Stegostoma tigrinum: one gene and its partners. The protein of the gene in region 2 interacts with the protein of the main gene of each other region in a biochemical or structural test. Links are inferred from orthologs where the notes say so. Each region holds a gene or a part of one and is shown on either strand. Other genes may lie near its edges.

Evidence for each region.
Region 1: the proteins of bmpr2b (region 2) and bmp4 form a complex in vitro, tested with the Homo sapiens proteins (2 studies listed by BioGRID). The link is inferred for Stegostoma tigrinum from reciprocal best matches to the Homo sapiens genes BMPR2 and BMP4.
Region 3: the proteins of bmpr2b (region 2) and gdf5 form a complex in vitro, tested with the Homo sapiens proteins (2 studies listed by BioGRID and IntAct, with this or other methods). The link is inferred for Stegostoma tigrinum from reciprocal best matches to the Homo sapiens genes BMPR2 and GDF5.

Annotation. Positions count from the first base shown.
Region 1 is NC_081363.1:47,120,777-47,128,736, reverse strand, and holds the start of bmp4 (bone morphogenetic protein 4), read left to right. Parts: upstream 1-4,919; 5' UTR 4,920-5,148; intron 5,149-7,960.
Region 2 is NC_081360.1:7,394,565-7,401,985, reverse strand, and holds the start of bmpr2b (bone morphogenetic protein receptor type-2), read right to left. Parts: upstream 3,051-7,421; 5' UTR 1,431-3,050; coding exon 1,367-1,430; intron 1-1,366. UniProt on the Homo sapiens protein: On ligand binding, forms a receptor complex consisting of two type II and two type I transmembrane serine/threonine kinases.
Region 3 is NC_081372.1:8,448,542-8,455,677, reverse strand, and holds the start of gdf5 (growth/differentiation factor 5), read left to right. Parts: upstream 1-4,110; 5' UTR 4,111-4,173; intron 4,174-7,136. UniProt on the Homo sapiens protein: Growth factor involved in bone and cartilage formation. During cartilage development regulates differentiation of chondrogenic tissue through two pathways.

The DNA of each region.
Region 1 (7,960 bases), on a different chromosome or scaffold from region 2:
CTTTACTTCCAGACCCTTTAATATAAAACTTAAATTCTCAAACTCCCAAGGTAGAAGTTGAATTTAAAAATGTAAAGATCAAGATCTTTAGTTCATGGCAAACTCCACACCCACAGGTATCGAAAAGAGTCCTCAGCAGCTTGTTCTATTCTTTCGTAATTGTATGCACTACTATATCATCCTATAATTTGTGCTGCTCTAATGTAAATGATACAGTTATTCAGGTCTGTATTCACAGTTGTATTTGCTCATACCAGAAATAACCCTAGGGAATCTGAGTTTCACCCCCTAAAACTTTAATATTGTTTATATAGTGTGGAGTGTGCAATACTACCCACAATTCTGAATGTTTTATATAACTTTTCATTACCACATAGTATTTCAATTTTAAAATTTAATTTAAATATACCGCATGATCAAATCTATAATTCTCTTTGCCTTTTAAATTCCTTATTAATCTTGTTTATTTCTTTTAATAAACTGTAAGCTTATTGCCCAAATACTTCACTTCTTCCAGAACACTGAGCATACTGGATACAGTCACTGTTGATTTTAAAACAAAATGTATCACTTCACACATTGATGTTGAATTGCACTTACCATCATGTCTGCATGTAGCAATTTTCACATTTTGTATCTGAAGTCTAAATTAGGTTTTTGATTCCACATAACATGCATAAGCTTCTTATGGTATAAGCTGTGGTATCTCTACCCCCGGACTGGGAGGCCCCAGATCAGGTCCTCTCTGCTCCAGATGTGCGTAATAGCATCTCTGAACAGGTTGATTAGAAAAAGAGACTACGTTTAAAACAAAAAACATGCACAAAGTACTACTCGTGTCTAAAGGTTGTCTGAAAGTGTTTCACAGCCAATGAATTACTTTGATTGTGTTCACAGTTACATCAGCAAACACAGTAGTCAATTTGTACAAAATCAACAATACAAAAAGAGGAATTCGTCTATTATGGTGGGGTTGGTTAACGCATAAATTTTGGTCAGGACATCAGGCGAACCCTTTGGTAATAGTTTAAAATAGTGTATTGATCTGAAAAGGTAGACATCTGAAAGATGAAAAGCTCTGACAATGCTGCCCTCCCTCAGCATAATGCTGAAGTGCCTGCCTATTTAATTTGTTTAAATTCATGCATTGGGAATTGAGCCTGTGAGCTTCTCCTACAGTTAAGGCTGCTGCCATTTGGTTAAACTAGTCTAATAATCTGTTTTTAACAGTCTCTAATTTTGAATTACTTTTTCATTGAGTACTTTTACTGCGGCTAATAATTGCCCCTTCACTAATAGCAAGCTAAATGAACTTGTACAGAATATTAAAGTGTTTAACTGTAAAAGGTCAGATATTATCCTTTGAAATATATGATATAGGAAGACCAAAACCGAATTCCAAAGTGAGATTAATTGAAATTAAATGTGTTTACCTCGTGATGTATTTGTGCTAATATTAGCAATTTGGCTTAATATTAATTAATTGAAATTGAGAGCAAAGCAGACCGTTATTTAGCATACCACAAGTCTTGGACAAGAGGTTGACAGTAATGGAAATTTTAAGCCGCACATCATTTTCTTTATTTATCTCACTTGTCTATCCTAACACTTCCTAAACTCACTTTATTCCTCTGGCAATAATCTAAAGCTTCCTCCCTGTGTAGCTATTCACCACATCAGCTCCCCAGTGAGTCTACCTTTGTCTTTATCCTCCAACTCTGCTCATCAATTGAATGTCTAAACATGCTTCCACTTTACAACAGCCTGCAGAATATTTGCTCATTTGTGAACAAGACTCCCTGTTCATATCCTTATCCTGGAGGAGTAAATTAACATTCTGGGCTTGACTGAAATCTGGCACACTGCTGTTGATTTTTTCCTTTCATTCGAGAAAAACTCTCTTGGTTCACATTTCATAACATCCCATACTTAGAGGTGTTGTGAAATTTCACCTAGGACTATTGCACATTTCTCTGGCTCCTTCAAAATGTCTCAAAACCAAACGTTTTACCTCTCCTTTGCTATTTACTTCCTCTAGAAAAAAGCAATCTTCTCTCACCCCTGAGCTCATTCAAATTCTCATCTATTCTTAAAATCTACTATTAGTGATAACATTGACTTTTCTATTGACTTTCTCCACAGCTGTCTCACTTATAATCCTGACAACTTCATGTTGGACGGGTCTCTATAGCCACTTCTTGTAAAGTAAATTTTAGAAACTGCAAATTTGAAATGTTACTTAGCGTGCATTAGGAGATCATATTGATGGGATAGGGTGACTTTGTGCAGCATTTTCATCAATTTTTTATGTTAATATTTTGCTGAAAGTAAAGGCCATGTATTTAATAGCACTGGCGATTAGGCCAGCCTACACTCCCATTTGGATAATCCCTGTTTTTCAACATTTGTTGCCTTAGGAGTTTCTGCTAGCATTGAGCAATTGATGTGAACAAGTGGCAAATTTGCTCTGAAAATAAGGCTAGAATTTTAATTTCATTGTGGAGTAATTGTTGACATAAGGGGTAAAAAGTAGTATGTGTTGACTCAGCAATTTGCTGTACACTGCACTACCCTGCAGTTTTTATTTTGAATTATTGTTGAAAATCAATTTAGAGAAAAGCAGTCTTCAATGACATGGTTATATTTGTCAGGACACTAAACACAGCTTTCTCTATGTCTCTGTTTACAATGTGATGAATTGCTGGCATGGTAGGACAATGAATATGACATGTACAAAGGAAAAATATACATACAATATACAATCCGTCATTCTTTGTATGGAAAGGTCTGAATTTATTTAAGAGAAAAAAATAGAAGACCAGAAATGGCCAAGTTTAGTTGAGGTCGAAGGTCCCCAGGATGTTACTGAATAGTTGAGCAGGTTTAAGGAGCTATTTATCCAACTTGCGCTGAGACACCCAGATGGCATCATGATGAAGGAGCATCAGACATTATAACAGATGGAGGCTGCTAGGAGAAGGTTACCTCCCCACTTTCATAGCTGAGGAATGACTTTTACCAAAAGAATAAAAAGCATAAATAATTTACTGAAGCTATCCACTGACTTTCTCTATGCTACTTCTGCAAGATTCTTCTGTTCTTCTGAGTCTGGAACTCTGTGTCCCTTTTCCTGTCAATTCATTCTCATAGCTCTACACTCCTGCAATTCTCTTGCTAAATCCCTCCAATATCATTAAACATCTCCTCAATGTTAGAAGCCTACTCAAAATCTAGCTAGTTAATATGCACTTTGTTACCTTACCTGATGGTCTTCTCACTCAGCACTGACTGCCCTGCGTGACTATTTTAAATCCTCCATCTAAGTATAAATTGTCACTGTAAATACAAGTATTTGGTATATTTAACCGTTTCATGTATTCAGCTCAATTACTGAACTTGCTCAGCTTCCTGATGAAAGTCCTGATGAAAGATTCTGTGCATGTTGTCACTGTTCCCACATTCCAAGGCATAAGGCAAATCCAACTCTATAGTGACATCATTTATCATTGATTAGTTGATTTCAATTCCATCATTTCAGTATCTGAAGAATGATCATGCTGTGCACAATATTTTATCACAGCTATTGATAAATCCTTATGTTAATTCAACCCCTAACTCCATACCTATATAGCTATTTTGCAAAGATGTCAACATAGCAATAATTGTTTTAGCATTGCACTTACTTTCCTAATCTACGTCTAATCTTCAGTTTTACATGCAAGTTCTGTTGTCTCAAATTTGCCACCAGCAGCCTAATTCAAATTATCTTCCTGGTACATACACCTATCACCATTTTGAACAGGATCCCACTGATTCCATTGTTATCCAAACTAAACAAAGTCATTTCCAAGTGTCCAAATAAATTGAGAAAGTATTACTCACTTGGAAGTCTAGGTCCTGGTTTCCAAACAGCTGCTCTGTAATAAACCCTCTCAAGGCTGCAGTGTAAAGGCATCGTTATTTTCGTAAGAAAGTGTCAAAAATTGCATTTATTCTCAGCGTTTGAATAATGACGTAAAACAGTTTGCAGAACATTAGCCACAAATGCTGAAGGTTCTGCCTCGATAAATGTGAAGTTCGTTTACCAAGCATTAAGGTTAAAACATTGTGTCCCTCAAAATTTTACCTTCTCGTCATGGTTTCCTCTCCTAGCTTTCCACGCATTTCTCTTTTCCTTTGGTGGCAAGAACTGACAACACCGTCTCCCTCAAGAATGACTGCGTAAACGTGGCCTAGATTTTAAAGTGAGGATGTTGGTGGAAAATTGACACCTATTTGTCTCTGCTTTGTAGGTATTTTTAATCGCACCTTAAACTGAACTCGTGTAGATATTGTGCATATTGTGGAGACAATCCTTCCAATGCAGCCTTTCCAACGTCCTACTAATCAGGGCACTTCGAAACATTGACTTTCGTCTCGTCTAAAAGCTTTTAACCTTTCGTTAGTTATTCGCTGCTAGCTGGTACTGACCAAAACTAACTTTAAAACATCGTCGTCGTGCTCTGGTTCTATACCCCACCCAACACTACGAATTAACTTTGTAACTGCATTTTCTGCTATTCCTTTTTCTTTCAAACCTATTTTCCCTTGCTCACAGGAAATTTCTGTCGCTCCGGAAGAACTCGAATACAGATATGCGTATTCTGAATAAAATGCAATGCTTCCCAAGCCACCAGTTAACGTGCTGTGCACAACAAAGTTAAGAGAAACGCCACGGGGCTAGTTTAAAGAAAACCGTGAGAGAGGAAAATGCTACTTATTATGTATATACGGTGTTCACGCGCCGTATCGCCTTCGATATGCTGCTATTAGCCACTTCTGCAGGAAGGAAGTGGAATATCATAGAGATCGCATAAGTGAGGCTTTATGAACTCGGGTTAAAATACCACAATGACGTACGTACTTTCCAACAAATTGCAGAAACTGGGCGGCCACTTTATTAGTCGGATTAATTGATAGTTCCAGTTTGGTTTCTTAAAATGGGTCGAATATGAGGGGTTGTTCAAGCGCGTCCATCTCTGGCACCTCAATCCAATCCGTTTTAGATAAATTGAATTTATTGGTTCAAAAATTCTGTCAAGTTCTACCTACAGATGCAGAGGCATTAGATACAATTATTGTGGAGTATACGGACGCGATACTTGCATGGTGAGTCATTTTTAACTCGTGCTGCTATATGTGGTAAACCTGAGATTGCTGTATTGTGCAAATGGGAAAATTACTCAATAAAAATCGGCAATAGTTATTTCACCTACACATTGGCTTCTTATACGTGTAATCTCACGTGCTCCAGTTACCAAAACTCGAGGGCGCTAATGTCAGCCCGGAGTTTCAAAATTCACTTTATAATGAACATATCCACTGGATGTATTTATCGAAATTGGCGGTATTTTGAACATTGACTGACTTATTTTCCTGTGTATAATATTTAGCTGGTTTCATTCCTTGAAAGTTCATTGCCAGTATCGAGTTAGATTTAACTGCCAATGCTAATTTATGAATAATAGTTTTGGAGAAAGACAACTTGTGTTAAAATCGTGTGTAAAACACTCGCAACGTACGTGTTTTGATTCTCTTTGTATTGAAATCGTTGCTTCGATTTTGATTAAATCAGCCGGGAGAGTGATTGAAGATTAACGAGTACGTAAGACAAAACGGATGAGTGCGGTTCAGGCCAGTTGCATTTTTATGCTGAGGTGAGATGCCTGTTTTCTCACTGTAAACCTCGGCAAACCAATTTTCACACTCTATCTGGAAGTTCAAAAGAATTACCCGACATTTAGTGATCTGTGTGAAATGTTTGTGTAATTTGCAGTGCATCGTTAATGCATTTTAGAAACATTTTCATGACGCTTTTAGTGAAAATTGGTGATGGGGTCGTTTAGTACTTATTTGGGAGTTTGTGTTTTGCTGTGAAGTTGTAGGAATGCTGTTGTGTGCGATTTAATATCGTGCATGATTGTGGGGTCTCGACACGACGATACCGGAGTTCCTAGTTTTAATATCCCATTAAATAACTTACAACCGTTTCCTTATGGGAGGTTGACGGCAATATTTGTACACGAAAATTGCCAGTGATATTTCTGTGCAGTGAAACACCGACATAAAAATGGTGTCGCCAGTTTCATGGGTGTTATGGTTGATTAAAAAAATGCGACCATAGTGATATCAATTCTGTCGCATCGATTAGCCGTTTGTTATACAGACTGAAAATGCACACGATCCTTCACTGAATGTGGCCCTGTGTAATGCACAGTGCTTCTATAACAATGCTACTTTTCAGGTGAGTGTTTCTTAGCATTTTCCGTGTTTATTATAGCATTCCCGTGGGTTCATTCTGGCGGAATGTGAAAATCGCATGCCCGGCTGAAGCACCGCAAGGCCATGTGTTAAGTTCCCTTTCATATTCGGCGCGATGCCGAATTCGGCCACTGCAGCCTGAGGCTACGAGCCCTGCAGTGATTGACAGGTGCTCAGCCTCCTCGCCCAGCGGTTTGAATGGGGTCCATGCACTGGCTCGCAGCTTGTGGGCGCTGAAAGGGCGGGGCTTGCCTGGTGATTGACAATGGAGGAGGAGCCCGGGCGACGGCTGGTGGTGGGGGCGTGGCCTAGTACTGTGATTGACAATGCGAGTGTGGGCCGGTAGGGTAACTGACAGTGTAAGAGTATGCCCAGGGGTGTTGACTGGGAACGAGGGGGCCTGTGGAGTCATTAACACTAAAGAAATGGGCCTGTAGGGTGATTGATGGTGAAAGTGTAGGTCTACAAAGGGGATAGACAGTAAAAGTAGGCTAATGGGTGATTGACAGTGGAGCAGCAGGCCTATAGATTAATTGATTGATGGTGAGGCGGTGGGCATCTCTGCTCTCTGATGAAGGGTCTCGGCCCAAAACGTCAGCGTTTGTGCTCCTGAGATGCTGCTTGGCCTGCTGTGTTCATCCAGCTTCACACTTTATCAGTGGGCATGTAGGGTTGTTGACGGTGAAAAAGTGTGACTATGAAGTCATGAAGTGCTTTGAGAGGCTGGTCATGACCCACATCAACTCCAATCTCCTGACCTGCCTTGATTCTCTGTAGTTTGGCTACTGACATAACAGGCCCACAGAGGATGACATATCCCTAGCCCTGCACTCATCTTTGTTGTCTAAATGTGCCAGGGATATCTATGGCAAACTCTTTCTTGTGGACTATAGCTCCACCTTCAACACCATTATCCCCTCCAGATTTATTTCAAAACTTAGTGATCTTGATCTCGGTTCTGCCCTCTGTAACTGGATCCTCAGTTTTCTGAACCACAGGCCGCAATCAATGAGGATAGCTAACTGAACCTCCTCCTCAATAACACTCAACACTGGAGCCCCCGAAAGGATGCGTCCTCAGCCCCCGACTGTACAGCCTGTACATCTATGACTGTGTTGCCAAATCCTGAAAGAATGCCATCTACAAGTTTGCTGACATCACCATACTAGGATGGATAGCTAACAACGATTATTCAAAATACAGAAGGGAGATAAAAGGCTTGGTGATGTGCTGCAATGAAAACAATCTGTCTCTCAATGTCAGCAAAACTAAAGGTCCAATCATTAATGTCAGAAAGAAAGGAGGAGAATACGTCTCCATCTACATCAAGGGAACTGAGGTCCAGAGAGAGTGAAGAGCATTAAATTCCTCAGTGATGATAACGGACAACCTGTCCTGGACTTTCCACATAAGTGTGACAGTCAAAGAGGCAGAATAACGACTCCTTCCTCAGGTGGCTCGAAATTTGGCATGGCCACAACATCCCTCACCAACGTCTACAGGTGCACCATTGAAAGCATAATGTCTAGGTACATAACAGCCTGTTATGGCAACTGCTCTGCCCAGGACTGTAAGAAACCACAGAAGGTCGTGTGCAAAGCCCAGAACATCACAGAAGCCAATATTCCATCCATGGACTGTGGAAAGGCAGCCATCATCA
Region 2 (7,421 bases):
AGAGTGTCATCAACAGTACCATCAAGCAGCACCTGCTTAGCAATAATCTGCTTGGGAGATGCTCAGTTTGGATTCTACCAAAGACACTCAGCTCCTGACCTCATTACACTTCGGTTACTGAATTCCAGGAACGAGGCAAGAGTAACATCCCTTTATATCAAAGCCACATTCAATTGAGTATGGCATCAAGGAGACCTAGGAACATTAGGAAATCAGGGGGAAAAATTTCCCCTGGTTGAAGTCATCTTTGACACATAGGAAGATGGTGTGGTTGCTGAAGGTATGTCATCTCAGTTCCAGGACATGTCTGCAGATGTTCCTTAGCATCTGTTCTAAGCACCATATCTTTAGCTGTTTCATCAACAACCATCTCTCTATCATAAAGTCAGAACTGGGATGTTTGTTTGATGGTTTCACAATTTTCGTGACTTGTCAGATACCAAAGCACTCCTGATCAAATGCAATAAGTTATGGATAGTATCCACACATGGCCTGACAAGTAAAATTCTTCAAAGTTCTTTTTTCAACTTTCCTTACGATACTTGTTGACTATCAGTCTCATGCCAGTGTTTGGCCTTAGATGGAGTTTACCATCCACTTTGGGCTGCATTCACAAGCAACCTGACTCTGAGAAGATACCATCCCAACCACCAGCCTCGTGCTGTCCCCGGGTCTGTCTCAGTCCATATTCACTAGATGACCCTGTTGTGCTACAAAAGATGTTACGATATCTGGGGTCCCCTGGAAGGGTCGCTGGACCTGAATCATTAACTGATTTTTCTATACAGATGCTGCCAGACCTGCTGAGCTTTTTCCAGCAATCTCTTTTTTTGTTTCAGATTTTATATTACCGTATCTACTTGACCATGAGATTTACAGACTCGTGTACACCTTGACGACTGCGCAAAAAGCTTGTAAAATGCAGTATAGATTACACAGTATAGAACTGGAAGATCACAATAGGCCAGGCAGCATCAGAGGAGCAGGAAAGTTGACGTTGCAGGTCGGGACCGTTCTTCAGAAATCCTGTGATTTTCTCTTATGGAGGAAGAAATCCTAGACCATTGTTTAAACGACCCCTCCACTCTTACTGTCCACTCTCCCCTTCACACTTCTGTCCCTTACCCTCTCCTCCCTTTCATCCTGTCCTTCTCGACTCACTTCCCTCTTGATCCCCTCTCCTCTCTTCCCTCGGCCCCAACACCCACACACATACTTCTCCCACTCTCCCCCCACCCCCACACATTCAGTGATTCAAGCGACACCGAGCTTGGCGCAGTCTCTTTAAATGTTCCTCCAACCTTTCCCCACCACCACACCTTTGGCCCGCGTTCGACTCCCGGGAACATACTTCCCAGTCACTTACAGGCTACGACGTTCACCCAGGCGGCGTGAATCCCGACGAACAGCAGGCATAAGGAGGCGGCCATGTCCGACCCGGAGTTGCGGGGGTGGGGTGGTTGGGGGGTGTTGTAGGGCAAAGCGAAGCAGTGTACAACAATGAGGAGGGGGAATGCGGCTCGGCCCAGTTCAGCCCCGGCTGTTAGTGACAGCACAGCCGCGCCACGCCGACAGCTCACGACGGTTTCATACCCTCGCGGAGGCCGCGATTTGAAAATCCGCTGGCCCAGCTCGCGCTCACAACCACCCGATGGTCCGGTAAAATTCAGCTCCTCGCCTCCTGCCCTACTCGGTCTGGACTCCTCAACCCGCTCCGGTTAGACACACACAGAAATAGAATTATTACTTCCTTCCTTTTAATTCCTCGGCTGTTGCTGTTCTTTTGTCTTTATAAAAAAATTCCAGCGGAAAAGAAAAGCCGCGGGCGTCCAGACGAACCGCGGATGGGTGGGATTGATGAAATATATTCCTATTTTTGTTCAACTAATGTTCTCCTCGCGATCACGGAACAAAATGTTCAGGATCATCTGCGTAGATATAAAAATTCCCGCTTGTTCGATCGCTGTTGATGATAAAACTTCGATCATATGTTGGTTGAGGGGGCAAGGTTGGGGGATTCACTTGCTGTAATGGGAACGAAAAAACCCTACGACTCCTTCCCTTGACCACGATGATTTTTCTTCTCCTCTTGACGGAATAATTGTTTCACTCTTTTTGTCTATATTTCCTCGCAGACTTGTCGCCTGAAATTTTTCCTCTTCAGTACGTGGGTATTTTTATCTCTCCCTCCCCCCTCTCGAGTGAAACGAGATCGATCAAATTTACTTTTAATCTTCTCGAAATAATTTACTCCTTCCAAGCGCAGGTTTTCGGCCGATGGCGTGTGATTTCGTGTGTGTGTGTTTTCCTTCTCAAACCGTCTTTGGGAGCTGCATCGCAAACTCTTCGTTTTGTCGGGCGTTGATTTTAGATTTCCCTCTTTCGCCTGGCTCCCGTTCAATTTATTTCTCTATTTCTTTTTCATCCTGCGGCTGTGGTTTTTTAAAAAAATCTAAAATTTCCACTACCGAAGGTTCATTCCCCTCAGGCGGGTCATCATGACTTCCTTCCTTCCCTCTCTCTCTCTCTCCCCCCCCCCCCCCCCCGCTTGTCTTCCGATGTGAGGGGATTTGGTTTGTGGGTGGAGGGCCAAGTGTTTGGACTACTCAAACCAGCCACTCTCTCAGGATGAGGGGGGCCGGAGGCACTGCCAACTTCCGAAAGAATCTCCCTTACGCACCCCCACCCCCTAAGCCGTTTTGCTTTATTTCTGCTAGATTATATTGAAGTTGTCTTCCCCTCCGCCACCCACACCCCTCGCTTTCTTCTCCCTGTGCAAACTCCAAAAGACCGCAAGAGGTTTCGGTGGGAGACTGCCGAAAAACGCTTCCTTTTCTATACCCCGCCAAGTCGGTTCCCGAGATCTTTTCCACTCCGGCCTCTTATGTCCGTGTCTTGCGTGCCTGTATTTTGTTCAATGAAGATGGTGGAGAACCACTGAGGCTGAGCTGGTCGCGAATAGGGAACGACAGCCGAAACCAGACACAGATATACACACAAGAGACGGGATACGCCCGCCAGACACGCCACGGTCACACACCAAGCCTGAGGCTGTGTCTGAATCCGAACAGCTCCCTCTATAGTGCTCTGCGTTTAAAGGGGCAACGCAAATTAACTTCCAAAGGTCTGAAGTAGGAAGGGACAAATTAGGAACTCTGGTTTCCCTCATAAAGGAGGAGTGCAGCTCCCATTCCATCCGCGCTTTTAATGTGCCAGCCAGGCCTCAAGACCTCCCCGAGGCACCAAGAACAAATGAACATTGAGCTAACAAAGATAAATAAGCAGTGACTGCAAACTTAATGGAAATAATGGAATTCAAAACAGTGACGTCAACGGGGAGAGAGAGGTGAAGGAGTCTGGGGTTAATATGCCTGGATCTTACGCCTAGGTGGCTGAAGGAGTCAAATTTAATATTAGTTTGAGAGGGAACTCATAAGCAGCCAGATTCATATCTAGCTCTCACAAGTCCATTCTTTCGTTAACAATAACCCAACCGTTATTTGTACGCCAGCATTCTTTACAAAACAACACAGTCCTACCTGAAGCAACTTTTCCATTGAATTCTATCTTTAGGGATTTTGTTAACCACGACAATGATGCTCCTATCAGCTACTTCCTAAATCAGCTTGACCTAGAAAACCGTACTAACTATATTTGCCATAATCAAGATATAGTAGGAACTGCAGATGCTGGAGAATCTGAGATAACAAGGTGTAGAGCTGGATGAACACAGCAAGCCAAGCAGCTTCACAGGAGCAGGAAGGCTAACGTTTCAGGCCCAGACCCTTCTTCAGAAATGGGGAAAAGGAAGGGGTTTCTGAAATAAATAGGGAGAGAGGAGGAGACGGATCGAAGATGGAAAGAGGAGAAGATAGGTGGAGAGGAGACAGATGGGTCAACGAGGGAGGAATGAAGCCAGTAAAGGTGAGTATAGGTGGGGAGTTAGGGAGGAGATAGGTCAGTCCAGGAAGGACAAACAGGTTAAGGGATGAGGTTAGTAGGTAGGAGATGGGGTTGGGGCTTGAGGTAGGAGGAGGGGATAGGTGGGAGGACGGACAGGGTAGGGAAGCGGGGACGAGCTGGGCTGGTTTTGGGGTGTGGTGGGGGGGACATTTTGAAACTTGTGAAGTCCACATTGATACCGTTGGGCTGCAAGGTTCCCACGCAGAATATAAGTTGCCGTTCCTGCAACCTTTGGGTGGCATCATTGTGACACTGCAGGAGGCCCAGGATGGACATGTTGTCTGAGGAATGGGATGGGGATTTGAAATGGTTCGCGACAGGGAGGTGCAGTTGTTAGTGCAAACCGAGAGTAGGTGTTCTTCAAGGTGGTCCACAAGCCTCCGCTTGGTTTCTGCAATGTAGAGGAGGCCAGTGTGGGAACAGCAGATGCAGTATACCACATTAGCAGATGTGCAGGTGAACATCTGCTTGATGTGGAAAGTCTTCTTGGGGGTGAGAGGGGAGGTGTAGGGGCAGATGTAGCACTTCCTGCGGTTGCAGGGAAAAGTGCCGGGTGTGGTGGGGCTGCAGGAGAGTGTGGAGGGGACAAGGGAGTCACAGAGAGAGTGGTCCCTCCGGAAGGCAGATAAGGGTGGGGAGGGAAAAATGTCTTTTGTGGTGGAGTCAGATTGCAGGTGGCAGAAGTGTCAGAGGATGATGCATTGGATCTGGAGGTCGGTGGAATGGTACGTGAGGATGAGGGGGATTCTGTTTTGGTTGTTATTGCGGGGATGGGGTCTGAGGGATGTGGACGTTCTCGACCATTGAAGGGGGAAAGTTGGGGTCCTTTAAAAATGAGGACATCTGAGATGTACGGGAATGGCATGTCTCAGCCTGGGAGCAGATGCAGTGGAGGCGAAGGAATTGGGAAATTCTATATGCTTCTATTTCAAACCATAAATGTGTAGTCCCTTTCATTGCCTATTCCACCAGCCTATGCCAGATCATGTACCCTTATTTCTGCCATCTCCAATATAATCCAACATATTTTCCCCTCTCCTGTCCACTTTTACATAGAACATAGAACATTACAGCACAGTACAGGCCCTTCGGCCCTCGATGTTGTGCCGACCTGTCATACCGATCTCAAGCCCATCTAACCTACACTACTCCATGTACATCCACGTGCTTATCCAATGACGACTTAAATGTACCTAAAGTTGGCGAATCTACTACCGTTGCAGGCAAAGCGTTCCATTCCCTTACTACTCTCTGAGTAAAGAAATCACCTCTGACATCTGTCCTATATCTTTCACCCCTCAATTTAAAGCTATGCCCCCACATGCTCGCCGTCACCATCCTAGGAAAAAGGCTCTCCCTGTCTAACCCTCTGATTATTTTATATGTTTCAATTAAGTCACCTCTCAACCTTCTTCTCTCTAATGAAAACAGCCTCAAGTCCCTCACCCTTTCCTTGTAAGACCTTCCCTCCAGACCAGGCAACATCCTTCTTAACAGCCCTGTCAACCTGGGTGGCAATTTTCAAGGATCTGTGTACATGGACACCGAGATCTCTCTGCTCATCTACATTACCAAGAATCTTACCATTAGCCCTGTACTTTGCCTTCCGGTTACTCCTACCAAAGTGCATCACCTCACACTTGTCTGCATTAAACTCCATTTGCCACCTCTCAGCCCAGCTCTGCAGCTTATCTATGTCTCTCTGCAACCTACAGCATCCTTCGTCACTATCCACAACTCCACCGACCTTAGTGTTGTCTGCAAATTTACTAACCCATCCTTCTACGCCCTCATCCAGGTCATTTATAAAAATGACAAACAGCAGTGGACACAACACCGACCCTTGCGGTACACCACTAGTAACTGGTCTCCAGGATGAACATTTCCCATCAACTACCTCCCTCTGTCTTCTTTCAGCAAGCCAATTTCCGATCCAAACTGCTATATCTCCCACAATTCCATTCCTCCGCATTTTGTACAATAGCCTACTGTGGGGAACCTTATCGAACGTCTTGCTGAAATCCATATACACCACATCAATTTTTGTGAAGCATTTCTCTTTGTGATATCTTAGCACCCTTACATCCAACTCCCTTGCTCTGAGAAAATTCCTTGAAGCATAGGCACTGCTATCCAGGGCCCCAAACACTGCTTTCAAATAAGAGTGCAATTTGCATATACATTCCCCAACCTAGTATGCTGATTTCACTGAGAACTGCCGATGCTGGAGTCAGAGATAAAACAATGTGGAGCTGGAGGAACACAGCAGGCCAGACAGCATCAGAGGAGCAGGAAAGCTGATGTTTCGGGTTGGGAACCTTCTTCAGAAGAAGGATCCCAACCCGAAACATCAGCTTTCCTAATGATTTCACTGACCTCGTTTAGTTTCATGTACATTAGGCAGAACCAAGCACCAATGAGGGACCATTTCATGGTACATTACAGGTTTGTTCCCTGCATCTTTGTGGCTTGTTATTGCAAATTCTTCATTCAAATTCAACTCTGGCTTCCCTACCTTTGGCCTTCCACACATTTCTAATGAACTTAACAGGAAACATAGGGAACAGCATTTTCTGTTGCTGTTCAGTATTTTACAGTTCTGTGTTCTTAAAATTAAATTGAAATATTATTTCAATTACTGAACCATTATGAGTTTTTTTTGATTTTGGTGATTAACTGCCACCAGTAAATCACCAGTGTAACCTCTGAATATCCACCTATCTAATGCATTCATAATTTTGTAGATCTCAATCAGGTTGCCCCTCAGTCTCTGTCTTTCCAGTGAATACAATCTACATTTATCCAATCTCTCCTCGTACCCAAATCCAGGCAACATCCTGGTAAACCTTCTCTGCATCTTTTCAAAAGCATCCACATCCTTCTGATAGTGTAGCAACGGTGAAGTCTCCTGAATAGTGTTGAGACAATTTAGTTTGTTTATTACAGTAAAAATCTTGTCATGTGACAAATCTTTCATTCAGTTACCAGAAATACAAGTAACTCATTACAAGTAATTGGTCACCACAGGAATCAGAATGGCATGAGACAAAGATGACATGAGGGAAAACAATTTACTCAATGAGTTGTTATAATCTGAAATGCACTACCTGAGTGTTATGAAAATAGAATTGATTATAGTTTTCAAAGCGGTATTGTATAAATATCTGGAAGGGAAGAAATTGTAGCGCACACTCATGATGTGCTTCTCACCCAGTATCACCCTTTCTGGTCACCCTCAATGATGTACTGATGTGAATGCATCTGTGCTGGTGGAAGATGGCTTGCTGTAACAGTGCTGGTTCGTGGCTTCCATCTTCTCCGAGGATTTCAGTGATATTGTTGCTTCACTGGGATTTTTCCCTTCCACAAATGACTGTCTGAAAGACCATGAGAAAGAGATCATAAGGATTCACGTCTGATGGTGGAGGCTTTTACAGAACTGAAGTTTTAGCATAATG
Region 3 (7,136 bases), on a different chromosome or scaffold from region 2:
TTGAAGATAAGTGGCATTCAAGAATACAAAGCTAAATAAAGATGGAGAGGTGGTAGTGTTAATTAAGACTTGCATTGGTGTAATTATCAGAGAGGACCTTATTTCAGGAAGTCAGGATATAGAATCAGTTCAGTTGGAGATGAGGGATATTGCGGAAAAGAGTCACGAGTCGGAGTGGCCCAGGTCTCTTCACAATGATCATGATGTAATATACAAGAAGGAACACTGTGTTCTTGTGATGCAGTTTCACTGAGAATCACAGGAGGTTTTAATATACATAATACACCAGAAAAAAATCAGTGTGGCCATCTGGGATTTACAGGTTGCTTTTGGAGAATTGAACCACATTTGCAATGGATCACCGTGGATCTTAACAGGCGATAGTAGTGTGCAGTGTCAGCAGGCTGGTAACCAAGCCCTCAAGCCTGCAGAGACATGTGTGCAACCAACCAAGCGATAGTAAGAATTGCCAATGCTAGACTCAGAGATAACACAGAGTGGAGCTGATGAACACAGCAGCCCAGGCAGCATCAGAGGAGCAGGAAAGCTAACGTTTTGGGTCAGAACTCTTTTTGAAGCTGAAGAAGGGTCCTGACCCAAAATGTCAACTTTCCTGCTCCTGTGAAGTTGCCTGGCCTGCTGTGTTCATACAGCTCTACACTGTGCAATTAACTAAGCCTCATTAGCTGTGAGACCTGTGATCAAATTTTACTGACCCTTGCTTTGACAATTAACAATTCATATCACTCAGTAGTAATTGGGTGCTGGTCATCACTTGCTCAACTGATTGACTGGCTCACAACTTCAACTAAAATTTCATTTTGACTTGAGTGCTTTCTGTTTTCTCAATTGCCAGCACTATGCTTATACCTTGGCTACATTCTGGTTCTAGAAAAGGTCTTTAACCAGTGAGAGCACAACAAAAACAGTCTGAACTTGAGTTCGGGGTGTCCCCAGACAGCAGCAACGGACAATGCCCTCAGTATCCTTGTCAATCCTGACAGGAGATCTAAATAAGAAAAACAAACTGGAACAGGACACTGCCACCTACACACTCCACATTCAGGCCCCATTCCAGAGGCTTGAGTACAGAATCTAGCTGAAACTTTAATGTGGTACTGAGGGCATGCTGTACGTTTGGCTGGTGTAGCTTAATGCTACACCAAACTCATAACTAAGGCATCAGTTGTAAAAAATAGGTCAGCATTGGCCAAAGAAGTGATGGGGAGTTCTTCCTGGTGCCCTGACCAATATTTAATCCTCCAACAGTTTCGCAGAAACAGAAAATCAGGTCATCATCATAGAGTAATACAGCATGGAAACAGACCCTTCGGTCCAAACACTCCAAGGCTGTCAGTAATTCCAAACCAAACTAGCCCCAGCTGCCTGTGCCTGGCCCATATCCCTCCAAACATTTCTTATTCATGCAATTGTAACTCAAACCCCTCATTCCCATCAGCATCCTGGTAAATCTCTTCTGAACCCTCTCCAGTTTATTAATGTCCTTCCCACAAGTGGGCAGCCAGAACTGGACACAATATTCCAGAAGAGGCCTCACCAACATCCTGTACAACCTGAACGTGACATCCCATCTCCTGTACTCAAATGTCTGAACGATGAATGCAAGTGTGCTAAATTTCTTCTTAACCATCCTGTCTGTATGCAAAGCAAAGTTCAAAGAATTATGTACCTGAGCCCCCAAGGTCTCTGTTCTACACAACGCTCTACTTTTAGTTGTATAAGCCCTGTCCTTGTTTGTCTCACCAAAATGCAAAACCTTACATTTATCCAAATTAAACTCCACCTGCCACTCCATAACCCGCCGACCCAATTGATCAAGATCTCTTTGTACTCGTAGATAACGCTCTTCCCTGTCTACTGAACCCCCAATTTTGGTGTCATCCACAAATTTAATGAGTATGCCTCCTTACATTCTGATCTAAATCATTTATATAAATGATTACTTGATTGTCTGTGGGAGCCTTCTGTGAGCAAATTGGCTGCTGTGTTTTCTACATTATGTTACGCTACCGTGAAATAATCTATTAGCCGTAACGACGTCTGAGATGTTCAGAGGCTCGGAAAAGTGCTATTGAAATGCAAACCCTTTTCTTTCTGTAGAATAGACTGTTAGACAGAGAGAGGGTGTATGATGATCTGGGATAAAATGTTCAACAGAAGGTCTAAGGGTGACATTAAACGTTATACAAGCAAATATCTGCAGATGCTGGAAATTTGAAAGTAAAATATCAAATGCAGAAACATTTGGCAGCAATCTGGCAGCAATGGTGGAGAGAGAAGCAAGAATAATGTGACAGGCTGGGTGTATTTAAATGGTCATTGGATAAACATATGGATGATAATGGGATAGTGTAGGTTAGATGGGCTTCAGATTGGTTTCACAGGGCGGCACAACATTGAGGGCCGAAGGGCCTGTGCTGCACCGTAATGTTCTATGTTCCATATCTACTGGAGTTGAGAAGAATGAGAAATGATCTAATTGAAAACATATAAGGCCCTGAGGGGACTTGACAGGGTGAATACTGAGAGGATCAGAAACAGAAACAAAAAAATTCTGGGGAAACTCAGCAAGTCAGGAGCATCCATGGGCAGAAATCAGAGTTAATGTTTCAGGTCCATTTCCTCAGAATGGTTCTGTTTTTCTGCTTTCTCTCTACAGATGCTGCCAGACCAGCTTGGTTTTCCCAACCATTTCTGTTACTGATTTCCAGCATCTGCAGTTCTTTTGCTGTTTTTGTTTGATATTGAGAGGAGGATTCCCCCTTGTGATGTAGACTAGAACCAAGGACCCTCCAAGTTAAGAGGGAGATGAGGAGGAATTTGTTACCTCAGAGTCATCAGTCTTTGGAACTCTTCCACAGAGGTAGTTAAAGGGAGTGATTGAATATTTTTAAAGAAAGATTTAGATAAATTCTTGATATTAAGGGATTCTAAGGATGTGGGAGTAGGAGTTAAGGGTGGGGGTGAAGTCAGTTGGAAGAGAAATCAGTGTCAATGTCACAAACAGAATAACCATGATTCTATCAAATGCAAGAGTAGGCTTGAGGGGCTGAATGGTCTCCTCTGAATTTGTATATTGCTATACAAAGTAACCATAGGCCCAGAGGGCTTCTTATTAGAGAGAGAGAAGGAGAGGTCTGGTGCTCATTTAATCTGAGGGTCACCATGTGTCAGGGTGAGGGAGGAGGTGGAGAAGGAGAGTCCTTCATGGTAACCTCAAGCTCTGTAGGAATTGAACCCATGCTTTTGTTTCTATTGCAAATCAGCCTTCCAACTAACTGAGCTCAGCCGCAGGTCTGCAACCTTACACCAGAATTGAGAAATCGTAAGAATCACCAAATCATAAAAGATCAAGGTCCATGTTGTTCACAGTCTGCCTTCCTGGTGTGCACAGATTGCATGTTAGTGGTCTAATTGGAAAGAGTACAGAAGACGTTTACAAGAATTGTTCCAGAGATGAGAGACTCAGTGATGACGAAAGTTTGGATGGGTTGGGGCTGTTTCCCTCGGAGAGTTGAAACTGAGTTGCCAAAATAGGGGTGATGCAGTGGCTCAATGGTTAACACTGCTGCTTCACAGCACCAGGGACCCGGGTTCAATCCCACACTTGGGTGACTCTCTGTGTGAAGTTTGCCTGTTCTCCCCTCGTCAGCATGGATTTCCACCCAAAATCCAAAGATATACAGGGTAGATGGCTTGGCCATGGGAAATGCAGAGTAACAGGGAGGGGTAGGTCTGGGTGGGATGCTCATTTGAGGCTTGGTGAAGACACGATGGGCCAAATAGCCTGCTTCCACGCATTATATTCTATGATTCTAATGATGCTCATTTGGAGAACTAGTGGATGGGCTGTGTAGCCCCCTTGTGCACCATAGCATATCAGTGAATCTGTGACCCACAAACCTGTGATGGGGATGTGAGAGGGTGAATGTTACCAACTGAGCCTGGTTAGCACTGACTGCTGAGTCACTGGGGTGCGAGCACTAACTATTCACACTCGTCGATCAAACTTATCTTGCAAATAAACAAAATAATTCATTTGAATATGATGTAGTGGCAACTCACTTTATACACAAATACTAACACGCACAGTCTCAGGCCACTCACATACAGGAGGTCACTGCATTGAGACTTGACTATATTCTATCCCAGGTAAGAAAGAGGTTAATAATTGAATGCTTCAAACAGTAATTTCTATGATACACAAGGGAAATATTTAGCTCATCCCGAAATTCCAGCTTATTTGCTTGAAATGTTCCAGCAACCTTTAATTGTGTAAACGTGTTTTCCAATAAATGACTCAGATTGTGCTCCATCAGGTGAGAGCAGGGTAGGGTTTGGATATTCAGAGTAGTAGTGGTTAACTTTTTGTTTCAGCTTCTACCTGTCAGCAGTGTGCTAGACTTCCACAAGAGTTTCTTTTTCTAAATCCAAAAGTGAATTTCCGCTTTTTTAGTTTGATTCTTTGCTTTTTTCCCCCCTTTGTGTGTGTGTGTGTGTGTGTGTGTGTGTGTGTGTGTGTGTGTGTGTGTCTGTGTGTGTCTGTGTGTGTGTGTGTGTGTGTGTGTGTGTGTGTGTGTGTCTGACAGAGTGAAGTTTCACCACCTCAACATTTCTCAGGGTGACATTTTGAACTGAAAGGAAAAGTTCTGATAGGTCATGCTGCAAATACATTACAAAAGTTCAGTAAATGTTTCTGAAAGTTGCAGCAAAGCAAGTTGAGAGAGATGGGGGAGGATTGAGGCACAGAATAAGAGGGAGGAAGTGAGGCAGAGATAGGCATAGACAGAGAGAAGTTGGGGCATGCAGGAGAGGGGAAATGAGAAAGGGGGTGAGGGGGAGAGTGAGAACAGAGGGGTGAGGGTGAGAGTGGGAATGGCGATAAAGTGGAGGGGAGCTGGAGGAGGGAAAGGAGAGAGGGTAGAGGAGAAGGGGAGGAGAGACGGGGCATGAGTAAGTAGTGCAAAAGACAGAAGGGATGGGTGGGAGAAAATGGAATTGGTGAGAGTGAAAGGGATGGAGAAGGCAGAGTGTGGTGGAGATGGGAAAGATGGAGTTTAATTTAGATAAATGTGAGGTATTGCATTTGGTAAGACAAACTGGCAGGACTTACACAGTTAATGGCAGGGCAGTGTAGAGTGTTGTCAAACTGAGGGACCTAGAGGTGCAGGTCCATAGTTCCTTAAAAGTGGCATCACCAGGGAAACAGGGTGGTGAAGAACATATTTAGCACGCTTGTCTTCATTGGTCACAACATTTGACTGTCATTGGGACATCATGTTACAGCTGTACATGACATTGGTAAGGCCACATTTGGAGTACTGTGTACAATTAGATCACCCTGCTATTGGAAGGATGTTATTAAGCTGGAAAGAGTATGAAAAGATTTACAAGGATGTTACTGAGACTTGGAGGGTTTGAGTTATAAGGAAAGGATCGACAGTCTGGGACCTTTCTCCCTGGAACATAGGCAGCTGAAGTGCAACCTTATAGAGGTATATAAAATCATGACGGGCATAGATAAGGTGAATAGTCAAAGTCTTTTTCCCAGGGTAGGGGAGTCCAAAACTAGAGGGCACAGGTTTAAGGAGAGCGGGGAAAGATTTCAAAGGGACTTGAGGGGCAATCTTGTCACGCTGAGGCTGGTGTGTGCATGGACTGAACTGCCAGAGGAAGTGGTGGAGGTTGGTACAATTATAACATTTAGTAAACATTTGGACAGGTATATGAAAGATAATAAAATGTGAGGCTGGATGAACACAGCAGGCCAAGCAGCATCTCAGGAGCTCAAAAGCTGACGTTTCGGGCCTAGACCCTTCATCAGAGAGGGGGATGGGGAGAGGGAACTGGAATAAATAGGGAGAGAGGGGGAGGCGGACCGAAGATGGAGAGTAAAGAAGATAGGTGGGGAGGTAGGGAGGGGATAGGTCAGTCCAGGGAAGACGGACAGGTCAAGGAGGTGGGATGAGGTTAGTAGGTAGCTGGGGGTGCGGCTTGGGGTGGGAGGAAGGGATGGGTGAGAGGAAGAACCGGTTAGGGAGGCAGAGACAGGTTGGACTGGTTTTGGGATGCAGTGGGTGGGGGGGAAGAGCTGGGCTGGTTGTGTGGTGCAGTCGGGGGAGAGGACGAACTAGGCTGGTTTAGGGATGCAGTAGGGGAAGGGGAGATTTTGAAACTGGTGAAGTCCACATTGATACCATATGGCTGCAGGGTTCCCAGGCGGAATATGAGTTGCTGTTCCTGCAACCTTCGGGTGGCATCATTGTGGCAGTGCAGGAGGCCCATGATGGACATGTCATCTAGAGAATGGGAGGGGGAGTGGAAATGGTTTGCGACTGGGAGGTGCAGTTGTTTGTTGCGAACTGAGCGGAGGTGTTCTGCAAAGCTGTCCCCAAGCCTCAGCTTGGTTTCCCCAATGTAGAGGAAGCCGCACTGGGTACAGTGGATGCAGTATACCACATTGGCAGATGTGCAGGTGAACCTCTGCTTAATGTGGAATGTCATCTTGGGGCCTGGGATAGGGGTGAGGGAGGAGGTGTGGGGACAAGTGTAGCATTTCCTGCGGTTGCAGGGGAAGGTGCCGGGTGTGGTGGGGTTGGAGGGCAGTGTGGAGCGAACAAGGGAGTCACGGAGAGAGTGGTCTCTCCGGAAAGCAGACAAGGGAGGGGATGGAAAAATGTCTTGGGTGGTGGGGTCGGATTGTAAATGGCGGAAGTGTCGGAGGATGATGCGTTGTATCCGGAGGTTGGTAGGGTGGTGTGTGAGAACGAGGGGGATCCTCTTAGGGCGGCTGTGGCGGGGGCGGGGTGTGAGGGATGTGTTGCGGGAAATACGGGAGACGCGATCAAGGGCGTTCTCGATAACTGTGGGGGGAAAGTTGCGGTCCTTAAAGAACTTGGACATCTGGGATGTGCGGGAGTGGAATGTCTTATCGTGGGAGCAGATGCAGCGGAGGCGGAGGAATTGGGAATAGGGGATGGAATTTTTGCAGGAGGGTGGGTGGGAGGAGGTGTATTCTAGGTAGCTGTGGGAGTCGGTGTGCTTGAAATGGACATCAGTTACAAGCTGGTTGCCTGAGATGGAGACTGAGAGGTCCAGGAAGGTGAGGGATGTGC